Tribolium castaneum: one gene and its partners. The protein of the gene in region 2 interacts with the protein of the main gene of each other region in a pairwise test. Links are inferred from orthologs where the notes say so. Each region holds a gene or a part of one and is shown on either strand. Other genes may lie near its edges.

What was found.
Region 1: the proteins of Taf1 (region 2) and Taf4 interact in binary tests that used the Drosophila melanogaster proteins (3 or more experiments, as listed by UniProt). The link is inferred for Tribolium castaneum from reciprocal best matches to the Drosophila melanogaster genes Taf1 and Taf4.
Region 3: the proteins of Taf1 (region 2) and Tbp interact in binary tests that used the Drosophila melanogaster proteins (3 or more experiments, as listed by UniProt). The link is inferred for Tribolium castaneum from reciprocal best matches to the Drosophila melanogaster genes Taf1 and Tbp.

What each region holds. Positions count from the first base shown.
Region 1 is NC_087394.1:35,639,825-35,644,198, reverse strand, and holds the start of Taf4 (transcription initiation factor TFIID subunit 4), read left to right. Parts: upstream 1-1,557; 5' UTR 1,558-2,208; coding exon 2,209-2,808; intron 2,809-4,374. Other genes in the region: wcd (U3 small nucleolar RNA-associated protein 18 homolog), read left to right, coding at 1-774. UniProt on the Drosophila melanogaster protein: TFIID is a multimeric protein complex that plays a central role in mediating promoter responses to various activators and repressors.
Region 2 is NC_087394.1:24,745,331-24,749,907, reverse strand, and holds the start of Taf1 (transcription initiation factor TFIID subunit 1), read left to right. Parts: upstream 1-1,719; 5' UTR 1,720-1,821; coding exon 1,822-1,970; intron 1,971-2,024; coding exon 2,025-2,188; intron 2,189-2,238; coding exon 2,239-2,309; intron 2,310-2,355; coding exon 2,356-2,580; intron 2,581-2,625; coding exon 2,626-2,844; intron 2,845-2,890; coding exon 2,891-3,076; intron 3,077-4,577. UniProt on the Drosophila melanogaster protein: TFIID is a multimeric protein complex that plays a central role in mediating promoter responses to various activators and repressors. Largest component and core scaffold of the complex.
Region 3 is NC_087402.1:9,986,400-9,990,864, forward strand, and holds Tbp (uncharacterized protein Tbp), read left to right. Parts: upstream 1-1,734; 5' UTR 1,735-1,826; coding exon 1,827-1,872; intron 1,873-1,916; coding exon 1,917-2,143; intron 2,144-2,192; coding exon 2,193-2,335; intron 2,336-2,381; coding exon 2,382-2,901; 3' UTR 2,902-3,395; intron 3,396-3,442; 3' UTR 3,443-3,948; downstream 3,949-4,465. Other genes in the region: Tbcc (tubulin-specific chaperone C), read left to right, coding at 1-638; Bka (rRNA-processing protein FCF1 homolog), read right to left, coding at 664-1,272, 1,322-1,324. UniProt on the Drosophila melanogaster protein: General transcription factor that functions at the core of the DNA-binding multiprotein factor TFIID.

The sequences.
Region 1 (4,374 bases), about 11 Mb from region 2:
TTCCCGATTTTTTGTGCAAAGTTTATCAACAACGGTAACGAGGTGATTTTGGGGTCACGGCAGAACCACATCTTCAGTTACGACCTAATGGCGGCCAAAACCACCAGAATCCCGTTACCCCCTGGCATGACCAGCTTCAAAAAATTCATCACTTTCCCCGATTTTGACATAATCGCAGCTGCAGGCAAGTGGGGCGAAATCCACTTGCTTAGCGCAGCCTCAAAGGAACGAGTCGCAACAATAAAGCAAAACCATGAAGTTACGGCTCTGGCCTACGGCCCCCAAGGTAATCTTCTCTATGGGCACAGTGACTGTGGCGAAGTCACTGTGTGGGACGTGAGCATGAGACGGGTCTTGCACAAGTTTATGGACGAGGGCTGTCTGCAAGGCACCACTTTGGCGGTTTCGCCCACTAATCAATTTCTGGCGGCTGGTTCTGCACAAGGAGTTGTTAATTTGTACGACGTGGGGGATATTTTAATTAATAAAGTACCTAAACCTATAAAGACCATTATGAATTTGACTACGAGCGTGACCGACTTGAAATTCAACGCTACATCGGAGATTTTGGCATTGTCGTCTGCCGAAATACCGAATTCCGTCAAATTGCTCCATGTCGGGTCTGGGACTGTTTTTAGCAACTTCCCGACGTTCGAGACCAAGTTGGGACACGTAAATGCGATCAATTTCTCGCCAAATAGTGGATATGTTGCCTTTGGGAATAGGAAATCGACCGTTTCTTTGTATACCTTGAAGCACTACAAAAGTTATTAATCAAACAACACATGTTAGATACGGTAAATGACCTGTTCCACCTGTTGTAACATTTATGCAAGCTTTATAAATTATAACAGGGCTATTGCTAAAATAATGTGTCAGTTTTAATACCGAAGAGTGGCATCTCTCCTCAAGTGGTTAATTTTGATCAATTTTTACGTTCTGTATGCTTTTTTATTTTTTACTACCGATGTCATGTTTTAGTACCTGTAAATAAAATCGTTTAAGTCCTAAGAATTTTATTGTTTTATTTGTAATATGTGAATTTTTTTTTCTTCCAACAGTTGCCGAATGAACCGCTTTGTACTCAATTGTACCTACGTTTAATTTATTGATTGCAGGCCATTATAGTTTACACCGGAATCGATTAAATAACCCCTTGCCTACACATTATCAACCACACAAGCCTCCTGAAATCAAATTGATAGGGGTACTATTACCTGCTGTTATCTAGAAGTGCTAGATTTTTATTAAAAATTTGCGTTACAGTTCTAAATACCACCTATAATTAAAAAGATTTGATGCAAAAGGAGGATAAGGGAGATGATAAAAAAAAAGTACCAAACAAAATGGAAATTATAGTAGGAGTAGAACGTGTTTATAAATCGAATACCTATTTTTTATCAATAAATCTGTTCTTAATATTAAATAGGCCATACCTATCGTATAAGAAAATATACTTATATTATTAATATAAGTTTTTTATTGGTAATTTTGTTCAAAATTTGAAAAAAACAGCGGGAATCTGACCAGAGTGTTTTGTTTTGTGATGATAAAACAGCAGTATGGTGTTGCAAGGTTGTTGTAGGTCATGAGATTTAGCAATAAACAATCTCTTAAGAAATATTGCTCAAGCAACAAAAAACAGCAAATGAGCTATGAAGTAAAGAAAGTTGCGTTGTGCCTCGTGCCAGAATTCGAGGTAAAATGAGAATTTAAGATGAGAAATGAGTGTTGTCCCCATGACGTAATACGTAAGCTGCGAGCTGCGTGGAAGGAATCGGGGCTATCAGCGGTCGTCGCAAAATGTCATCTTGTTAAATGTAAATTGGCGCAGAAACTTTCTAAAGAAATGTAAATTTGTGGATTTGGAAATGTGAAATGCAATGCGAAAATTCAAATTTGGCGGGTCGGGATGACGTGTCAGATGACTTAGCAAAACGTCGAGAGTGCGATCGACTCCGCGATGTAAACGAAACTGAAAAGCTGTGTCTGATGTCGCCGTGAAATCCGCCCCCGACGAAACCGTGCAACAACTCGGAGCAGCCGAAGATGAGGGCCATGTAAAGTGGTTAAAAGTGCGTCGATTCGGACTTTTGTTTCATATGCCTTTCTGCATTTGTGGCGTGAAGAGTCGACGGCGCAGCCGTTGGCGTGATCATGTTTATGTAGGGCGCATGCGCACATCAGTTTACAGTTGGGTCTCGGAAAATGGCGTCAGCTAAGTTTCTCGAGGAAGCACTGAGTACGGATGTGGACGAATCGGCCGTGAGTGCAATCGTGGGCTCGTTGGAGAACCAGCTGGTGACGTCGTCGACGACGGCGCCCGCGTCCGCGGCCCAGAACCACGTGAACAGTGCAATATCCAACGGCGGCACCGTCGGGCCCCCCAAGCACTCGACAGTGGCCAACGGCGACTCCATCTCGGACGCCAAGTCGGCCGACGCCGCCCCCGTCAAGATCGTCTACTCGCAGGCCATGGCGGGCGCCGGGACGCTGCTGCCCAACGCGAGGGTCGCGCTGCCGCCCAATGGGACGCTGCCCCAGGCCGCCCCCGGCAAGCAGCCCACGCTGGTCATCAAGACGTGCGGCGCCTCGGCCCCCGGACTCGTCACCGTGCCCATGAACGTGACCACCTCGGTCCCGCCAGCTAACAACGTAGGTAGTCCCAGTACACAGTCCCCAAACATCCTTTCCAACCTCCAGGTTGTCAATGTACGGCCTGGCGTTCCCGCTCAGCAGCAGAAAGGACAACCGGCACGTGTCGTGCTCAGTGCACCACAGATTGTCGGGGCCCGGCCAGGAGCTCCAGTAAGTCGGTGTACACTCAAAACAACAGTCGAATGGGAGGGTCTGCTAACTCCCAGTCTTAAGATGCTTGCTAACACCTATAACCCCTTATCGACATCTACTGAGCGTACATTAAAAAAAAAACAAAAAATTAAACAAATTTTCATTCTAGGACAAATTATGTTTTCAAGCCAGTACTTGGTGTACTGTTTATTATCATGTGACCATCAAAACAAACAACGTCCAACAAGTTTACAAACTATCTACCATAATAATTTCGTTGTGTTGTAGGTAGACAACTTAAGACACACTCAAAACAGTACAGTATTGGATTCTTGAAAATAAAGCCCAGTTTCCCCCAGGAAACCAACGTAAGGGCCCCGAATTAATGACACTGTTTTTTAAAATTTTACTTAGCAATGAATACAATTTAAGGAATTGTTAAAAAAATGACTTTAGATTTAAAAAAAAAATTAAATACGTTCCTGCAAAATTGTAACTTGCTCTTACTTAACTCAAGACTCTTTTAAGCGATGTAGATTTGACAGCTACAGCAAAGTAAGAAATTCTTTCGTACTTTCACCCTGTGTAGTCATAAAGACATGCTGTTTCAATAGGTAATAAAAAGTATTTAATGTTGGCTAAACTTTTACACATTTCTTCTCAGTTATAGTGACATTACCATTAATGGCGAATTTAGCGTCTTTCATACAGTAAACATAGATTTTTTTGTACAAAATTATTCAAAAATTATGCACTCCCAATTGAAATTTTGAACAAAACTAATGTAAAAATGAGACAAAATGATGACCTTGTTAAAACTGAAATTATTTGTTGCAATTTAGATTTTAACAGAGGATTCATTCCAGTGACCCTCATGTACCAATATTTTGTTTGATAACAATTAGAAGACTTTTTTTCTTAGAAACACTATTTTGTACACGCAAGTGAATTTTTAACTCCAGAATTGTAAACGGATAGTAATTATCAAACATCCTAAAATAAAATATAAGATGCAATAATAAGAGTTGGAGTAATTATTGAAAAGTGGAACGATTATAAAATTAGAAAATTTCATAATAATTATCTCTCCACAGGGACATAAACAGCATCACACATATAGGGAAAGGTGTTGATATCCCTACTTTGTGATTAAATACACGTTATGTTATGTAATTTTCATGCTCGTGTAATTTTTTTTTATTTAATTCTTATTTTTTTTAAAATGTTATAAAAAACGATGGCAGCGTGTTTAATGCAAATTGCTATCTATGCGAAAGAAAGTGACGTTGAATTAATGAGTGAATGGTTACTGATTTGTTTATTAAAAATGTTTTATTTCATTCATAAGGAACGAATTATTTTGAAAATAATTCGTTCCTTATTTGGAAATAAAAGTCGCAGAATCAGGATGTCATGTCAGTATTGGGATTAATTTTCATCCAAGCTAGGACTAACGCTTTCGGACCCCACAAACCCCCCCATTCTACTGCAAAATTTCATGTTTGAGGCTATTTCCATTGTACAGCTTCACAAAACAACAACCAACCACCTTACACAGATTGTTCACTCGAAACACGTACACGA
Region 2 (4,577 bases):
GAAAGCTTCATCATATTTTAATTCGTTGTTAAAAGTTATCAACGCGAATAGACCAATCAAATTGGCTCAATTTCGTCACGTGATCCGTTAATCACACATTTAATTGCGAATTAAATTAATGGCGCTTCTGTAAACCGGTTCTAAGGACCGGTTTACAGAACATTTTAATTGCAATTAAATTTAAATCGCGATTAACTTGACATTTGTCAATGCATTTTAAATGGTAACTTAATTCGAATTAGTTTAATTTTGAATTAAATTTAATTTCGTTTTCTGTAAACCGACCCTAAGGTTCTAATTAAGTTGTTTGTTGCACCCTGTGTCAAAAAGCTGTTCCCTAAACATTTCTTTTGGATAAATTGTGCTATCACTTTGTCAAAAAATGTATCGACTGTAACTTCACCCACAGCTTGCTATAGTCCGTGACAAGCTATGTTTTTCTAACCTTAATGTTTACTACTGTTTACTGAATTCTATTGCTCCTGAAGTTTGAATATTGTTATTTATTAGACTTTTGGACACACATGAAAATCTACAAACCGATAAAACACACGAAAAACCACAACACATTTAAAATCACTTAAAACCAACGATATCCCAAACAAATCGCCACATTTATAGAGAAATGTCGTCCAGGCGGTCATTTCACTTGGACCGGATTTTTAGATTTAGAATTTTTCACAATTTTCTGACTATGATTTTATGATAAAAAATTGTTTAACAGCAAAAACTAATTTACAATTTTGATTACATAAATGCTTATTTGCTCATTAGTATTTTTTAAAAAGTTATTGAGTGAAATTATCCCATGAACTAACTTAGATCGGTGAATATAGCACCATGAATATTACAGTCGACCAGACAATCGCTGCGCGCTTGGAGCTAGCACCATTCTCGTTTTCTACAGCCAAGTTCACACCAGGAAAATTATAAAAATGATCGTAAATCATTATAAAAACATCAATAAGCTGTTACGCTGACTTGCATATCACATTTGTAGAACATCTCCTCACCATTCTAATGTGTTTCTATTACAAATTAAAACTTAACTGCATTTAATTTTTGCATTTTTTATTCTCATATTCAAGCAATGCAAACTGATTTTTTTTACTCTTTTTATATCCTGCAATCATCTTTATTTTTGCACGAGATTAAGCCCTTCGATAGGGCCTTTGACTGTAAAAAAATCATGTTCGGATAAACACTCTTTGGGACCTTAAAGATTTTTTTAATTTTTATAAAATTTCTCGATTTTGCAAACTGCGTTAAAAAAATTAATATTTAAAGATTGCTCTAATTTGTCAAATTAATAATTAATTTGTCTAGCAAGAATCACGTGGAGGTTTAGAGCATTCTTGCCAGGAAAAAAGGAAATAAGGATGAGGTAAACAATAAATATTAGAAAAAGAAAGGAATAAAGGAATTATTGGTTATGAAATGAAAAAATTAAATGCAGTTAAGTTTTAATTTGTAATAGAAACACATTAGAATGGTCAGGAGATGTTCTACAAATGTGATATGCAAGTCAGCGTAACAGCTTATTGATGTTTTTATAATGATTTACGATTATTTTGATAATTTTCCTGGTGTGAACTTGGCTGTAGAAAACGAGAATGGTGGGGAAATGTTGCTAGCTCCATGCGCGCAGTTATTGTCTGGTCGACTGTAATTTTGTTCATGGTGCCAGCACCATTCTTGGTAACTTCGTAGTTACAGGAATCTGTACCGGCTAGAGGGCACTCACTTCGCCATTTGTGATTATTTATATGGTGGACCAACTTTTATCTATTTTGTGTTTTAATTGTTTAAAATAAATGTAAAATGAGTGATAGCGACGACGAGAACTTTAACAGAGACGAGGACTGTGTGGACCTCACCGGTTTCCTCTTCGGGAACATCAACGAGCAAGGGCAACTCGAAAGCGATGTTTTGGACACTGAATCCCAAAAACAACTTTCCAACCTCGGGAAGTAAGACTCATTGTAATACTGTTGTAATACGGGGCGTAAAAAACATAATTCCAGGCTGGGTTTGGGCTCAACCCTTAAAGAAATGATTGGGGTTGATAGCATCCCTAAAGACGATTCCGACAGCGATTATGATAATTCCGAGGGGCAAAAATCGAAATTTGGGGATGAAAACAAAGAAAGCAACAGTGCGGAGTCGCAAAATAATGAAGATTCTAACTGTGAGACTGTTTTTTGTCACGTAAACAAACATAACCTTACTTTGTTCCAGTCGAGTCAAAATCGCCCAGTGCTGTTGATTTTTCCGATATAAATGAACTCGCTGAGGAAGAGGAGGAGGAGGTAAGTGGTTCCGTGTTGTTTCAGTTTTTTAGTTGATAATTTTCAGGCGAAACCGGAAAATTACGATGCTGATGATGAGCACCCCAATGAAATTGATAACAAATTAATGCCGCCACCTCCAGTTCCGACAACGAAAGAAAATTCCGAATCAATTGTTACGACTGATGATGGTGATAAAAAGAAGCTCGAAACGCCTCTTGCGGCAATGCTGCCGTCCAAATACGCAAACGTTAACGTTACGGACCTTTTTCCGGATTTCCGGCACGGAAAAGTATGAAATTGTGCCCAAATTTTCACGTTCGATCGACTTTTTTAGGTGTTACGATTTTCGCGGCTTTTTGGGCCAGGAAAACCGAGCAGTTTGCCCAATATTTGGAAAAATGTGAGGAAGAAACGCAAGAGAAGGAAGCACAAAGATAGCGCGAATCAGCACGATTCTGATTCGAACTCTGAGGATGAGAAGCCGAAACATCGGGGCTGGTTTATTGATTATGCTGAGCCTCCGCCTCCTGAGCAAATTCAAAGCGATGATGAAGTAGTTTACAGTGGATTTGTTTCGTTTTGTGATGTTTTGCTTGTAGGAGAAGTTTCTGAAACCAATGGAAAATGCGACCGTTGATAGCAAAGCTGAGACCCAATCAAAGGATGACACGGGGCCTAAAGTGGCCGATTGGCGCTTTGGCCCCGCCCAGATTTGGTACGATATGTTGGAGGTCCCGGAGACAGGGGAGGGGTTTAATTATGGTTTTAAACTAAAAGAAGATCAGGTTTGTTTCAATTGATATTGCGCTCTTCAACGCATTTAAAATTTTGTCGGTTTGTATATTGTTTTTATATACAAAATCCTGTTTAGAATCCTGTTTAGAAAATTGAATTCTTTATAATACCAATAAAACTACTTATTGGGAAATGTTTTAAAACGAATAATAAAAATTTTGGACAATTGGGCATCGCTGTTCTAAATTAAAGCAACAGGGTTCTATAGAATTTATTTTGTAATGATATTTAAAACTAACTAAATTCTACAAATATTATTTTAATTAACATTCTGTAATATTTCAAAGTCACTTGTTTAATCACTTGATGACAACAAAGATTAAATAGAGGGTGTATCTTGAGTAAGTGCAAATATTTTAACCATTAATTAACTGTTGAAAATAAATTGATATTTTTTCTAAACACTATTAAACACTGCCTTGTGTGTTGTGATATCGTCTGCATCGTTTTACATTTTATTATTTTACTCGAGAACGCTACATTTTACAAGGAATTTACAAGAAACAGAAAAAAATCCTAATTGAATGGGCTTTCAATTTCTAGTAATACCAAAGCCACCCTTACCCCATATTAGGAATTCTGAGCTATTTTTCTGAATTTAGCAAAAAAAAAATATTTTTTTTACAAAGTTTTAACCTTATATCGCATTTTTAATCCAAAACCCAATACAGATTTTGCCAAAATATGTAAAAACAATACAAAATGCATTAGCGACTATGAGCTTCAAAACCACTTGCACCGAGATATTGCATCAGAAGAATTGTCATTAACTGTATTACGCTGTTTAAGCCAATTATCTGTTAAACACTTGACAACAAAGAATAAATATCAATTTTTTTTTGGATAAACGTTTAATTTCTTTAAAGACGAGCTAAAGCACCTGGAAATACCTACGCTGATTTTTAAAGATCTCATGCTTAAAAAGAGACCATGTCTCAGAAATAACAAAAATTGCCTTATTTTGACAGCTGTTTAGTTAAAAATTGTAGATTTTTGACGATTGCTAGCTTTAAAACGAGCCAAATCGCATGGCAATGCCTCAAATCGTTTTGTTTTGCCATAAAAAACACTAATTTTTTGTTCATAAAAACATGGTATTCAACGATTTCTTGCTTAAAAATTGGGCAGTTACCAGAACTCGCTTTATTTTATTTTTTTGTGTTGAAATAAATTGTTTCTTTTTATTTTCCACAAAAAATGTACAAAATCTTGTCGAAATATTTCATATTTTTGCCGAAAACTACGTTTTCATTATAATGTATCGATTTTTAATAATGCTTTTCTAAAAACGAATCAAAACATTATCTGACACTTGTTTTGTTTAAATACGGTGATTTTTAATGATAACTCGTTTAAAAACGAGCCAAATCTTCTGGAAAAAACTCATATCTGTTTATTTTACTTTTGAACATGTCGATTTTCAATAAATTTTGGTTTTTAACAGTGACTAGAATTTTTTCGTTTTTAAAGAAAGTCAGAAAACGTGCAAAC
Region 3 (4,465 bases), on a different chromosome or scaffold from region 2:
CCAATAAATTAAAACAACTGGAGGAGAATCTTTTGCCCAAGAAAAAGTTCGGGTTTAAAAACAAACAAAACGTGAAACCTGTGGAAACAAAAAAAGAAAAGGATGAAGTGGATTTCCATAAAGTCGCGATTGTGGCAAAAGAATGCGGTTTTGCGAACAAAACTGGAGAAACTCTAACTATGAAAAATGAGATTTTCAAGAAAGACATAACAGTAGAAAAGTTGGAAAACTGTACCGTTAAATTGTTCGGTTCGCCGTCCACTCTCCACCTCAACCAGTTGAAAAATTGCCGCGTTTTCACAGGCCCCGTTTCAACCTCAATTTTTGCAGAAAACTGCACAAATTGCACTCTTGTGATAGCGTGTCAACAGTTAAGATTGCATTCTTCGAGTGATGTCGATATTTATTTGCATGTAACAAGTAGAGCAATTATGGAAGATTGTCACGATATATTTCTAGCACCGTATAACTGGGACTATGATAATCTCGAGTCTGATTTTAAAAATTCAGGGTTGGATCGAAACACAAATAATTGGAAATGTGTTGATGATTTCAACTGGTTGAATGTTGAAAGACAATCTCCAAATTGGTCGTTGTTAGATGAAGGGAAACTTGTAAAAAATTGGGATAATTCATAACGTAGTAATAAAAATTCGTAGTTTATTATGTTTTTGGAGCCCCGTAAGCATCAGGCATGCGTTCAATTGTATACCTATGTTGTGCAACATACATGATGGGAACACCCGGAATTTTCCGAATTCTGCGTTTCAAATCCTTATCATTCGTCGCAACAATGTAACACTTGTGTTGGGTGACCCTCTGGACTAGGCAATCATCAGCGTACGTCCCTTTATGCATGCACTTAATCCTCTCAAACCTCGGATCCTTTATTATCCTCAACGCCACTTTATACTTCTGACCTAATTTCTCTAATTCGCCCAAAACACAATCCGTAATATACGGAATACACTTAGCATACAAGCAGTCCATCATATTCTGAATAATATCCAACTTGTTCTTGATCGAAAAATTAATAAAGTTCGTATCAACCAAAATGTGATATGGAGGCCCCAGTTGGGTGTTGTATTGGAAAAAGAGCGCCGAACTAACTTGGGGCACCTCACGCACTTTCATTTCGTGTGGATCTTCGGGTTTTTTCTTGCGAGGAGGGGCCCTCTGGCTGGCTTTTATGCGAGGGTCGCTGGGACTGATCATTGTTTTCATTTTTGCAAACCGCTTCTGGGCGATTTTTCGCGTCTTCTTCGCCTTACCCTAAAAAACATTTCTATACGCTGTGCAAACACCAAAGCGAACTTTTTACCATCTTTTATTTTAAAATAAACACATGTAGAAAAAGTCAGGTTAAATATGCGTTGCCAACATTACAACACTAAATAAACAATCAGGGAGAGGTGAATAAATTAAATCCAAAATAATTGTTTGTGTGAAAAAACTGTTCCACTGACTCGAAATTTTTAAAAGGCGACATTGTGAGCGTGAGCCGTGAGTGTTATTTTTAAATTTATGATGCGAATTTGAGTGAGGTTAAGGCGGGCGTTGCCAACATTCTGGTTGATTTGTCCCCAAAAATTATGCTAGGAGAATAATTTATTAATTTGCTTCCAAATCCGTTTTTCCAGTGAAAAACAGTATTTTCGTGACGAAAACTCTGAAAGAGAACAATCAAGGAATGTTATTTTGTGTTTGTATGGTCTGAGTTCAAGTTTTTAAAAATTATAACCGTTTATGCTAAATGTTGACTATGATTTTATTGTTCAGTTAATTAGTTCGTTAATTAAAAAAGTGTAAAGACAACAAGTACCAAAATGGATCAAATGTTGCCAAGCCCCGGTTTCAGCATTCCTAGCATAGGTAAGTCTCGATTTTTCCTTCACACTTCCTTAGTGAGGCTTTAGGAACCCCCTTGCACCAGCCCGAGGAAGATCAGATGATTTTGCCCAATGCTCTGCAGCAACAACAGCAGCAGCAACCTTCCACAACATCACAGTCCCAACAAGTCCCGCCTTTGGCCCCAATGGGAGCCCTAACACCAACTCTGGGGTTGGGCATGGGCATGTCCATGCCCCATACGAAATATGCGGGCTTCGCCCTCCCCATCACGAGTATCCAGTCACAAACACCAGTACGTAACTAAATTATTGAATAATTGGAACGTTTAATTAAAATTTTAGCAACACACTATGATGTCCCCTATGGTGAATTTGGGGGGCTCAAGTGGTGCAGCGAACACCCCGTCGATGGGCCCCGCGACGCCGTCGCCCCTGACACCGATGACCCCGCATTCGGCCGACCCCAACATTGTCCCCCAATTACAGTAACAGTCCAAACTTTAGTAAAATTAGTTTGAATATTTTTTGCAGAAATATTGTCTCCACAGTTAACCTCAGCTGCAAGTTAGACTTGAAAAAAATCGCCCTTCACGCACGTAACGCTGAGTACAACCCCAAACGTTTCGCTGCAGTTATAATGAGAATCAGGGAGCCCCGAACTACTGCTCTTATTTTCTCTTCGGGAAAAATGGTCTGCACGGGGGCTAAAAGCGAGGACGACTCCAGACTAGCAGCGAGGAAATATGCGAGAATTATCCAAAAGCTGGGCTTCCCCGCGAAATTTTTAGACTTCAAGATTCAAAATATGGTGGGAAGTTGCGACGTTAAATTTCCGATCAGATTGGAAGGACTTGTCCTCACGCACAGTTCCTTCAGTTCGTATGAACCCGAGTTATTCCCCGGTTTAATTTACAGAATGGTTAAGCCCAGAATTGTACTACTTATTTTTGTCTCGGGTAAAGTTGTCTTGACTGGCGCCAAAATCAGGCAGGAGATTTACGAAGCCTTTGATAATATTTATCCAATCCTGAAAAGCTTCAAAAAGCAATAATTGCTTCATGTGCTACGTTTAATTGTTGACTGTAAGTGGGCCTTTTATATTGTTAATAGACGAGAATCAAAAATTGCTTTTATTTTTCCTTTTGACAAGTCCAATCTAACCTCAAAATTAGTTTTTTTACATTATTAATACATTATGCTGCACTAGAATACAATCAATCGAAAGGGAATGGAAAATTCCGCTCAGTACTTAAGTTCAAAACTGATAAGTAAATAATTAATTAAAGTTGATTATGGTTTACGAAAATTCAAATTTTTGCCACATAACCTCAAATTTTTTGCCAAAAAGAAAAAACTCGCTCGTTTTTGTCTTAAATGAAGAACAATAAACTCTAAAAAAGTGGAAGAATATCAGAAGACGGTACAAATTCCACGCCTTGTAAATACTGGAACTGATAAAAAGCGATGTCAAATTCCAACATGTTCAAGTAATTATTTTAATCTCTACAGTTCGGCGTAAAATAACAACAATGCCCATTTTACCAGGTGAGGCCACACGCCAATAATTGCGTTACTAATCGTAATTTTATCAGATAAAGTGCGAAATTTGGTGAAGAATGTTAGAAGTATGTTCCTAAAATGGTCAGTGCAAAGACCGATTTTGTCCATGTCTTTGGTGGTGATTTTGGCCGTTATCCTGCTCCCCGTGGTCACAGCAGCCACCCTAATGCCCGTTGCGCTATTGCTCACTTACACGGGAATTTTGGCGTCACAGGGAATTTTTTACATAACTTACAACATATTTATCCAAGGAATGCTACTAGCTATGGTAATTGTAGCCTTATTCGTTGTTGGTTTTACAATTGCAACAAGCGCGAGTGTTTTCCATTCATATACAATATTTAAAACGGTTACCATAAAGAAAAAGCAATAAATTTAAGTTTTTATTCGTTTTTATGTGCCATTTTTTCCATTAATGCCCATAATTTTCGTACTACTTGTTCCTCGCCTATTTCACCATAATTGAAGACTTCATAGTTTGGAGGGTTCGTCCGTACCATATCTGTTAGTTTATAAGGAATAAAGTTGTTAAAATGAACGGCTTGGTTTTTTTTTTAGAAAGGATACAGCCTGTGTTAGGTCTTGTATAATCAAATTGTGTTGCAGTTAATAACTTATACAAATATAAGGAGAGCCTGAAATAAATTCATTAGAGACCAACGTAAGAGTCATTTAAATTTCATACTTTAGGCTCTTAAGATTTTGCAGCTTATGATTATAAGTTTCGCACCGTTTTGTTGTTTCCCGGAGTTTATTTTTCTTTGCACCAAATTCGGTAGTTAAATTTGAAAGTTCCTCTTCCAGTTTATTCTATTTTTTTTACAAAGTTATCGTACAAGTAAAATTATTTTTTATACTTACGATTTCAGACTTTTCTTTTTCCAAAAGTTGAGCATTGTTATCCACGATTTCAAAGGCCCTTTCTACTTTACAATCAATCAAAGATTTAACGTTTGCACATATATTAAACAAATACCCTTCTAAAAAGACATAACAGAGTACAAAAATAGATTTAAAAAGATTGCACGTACCTTCTTCCACATGAGGTGTTAACT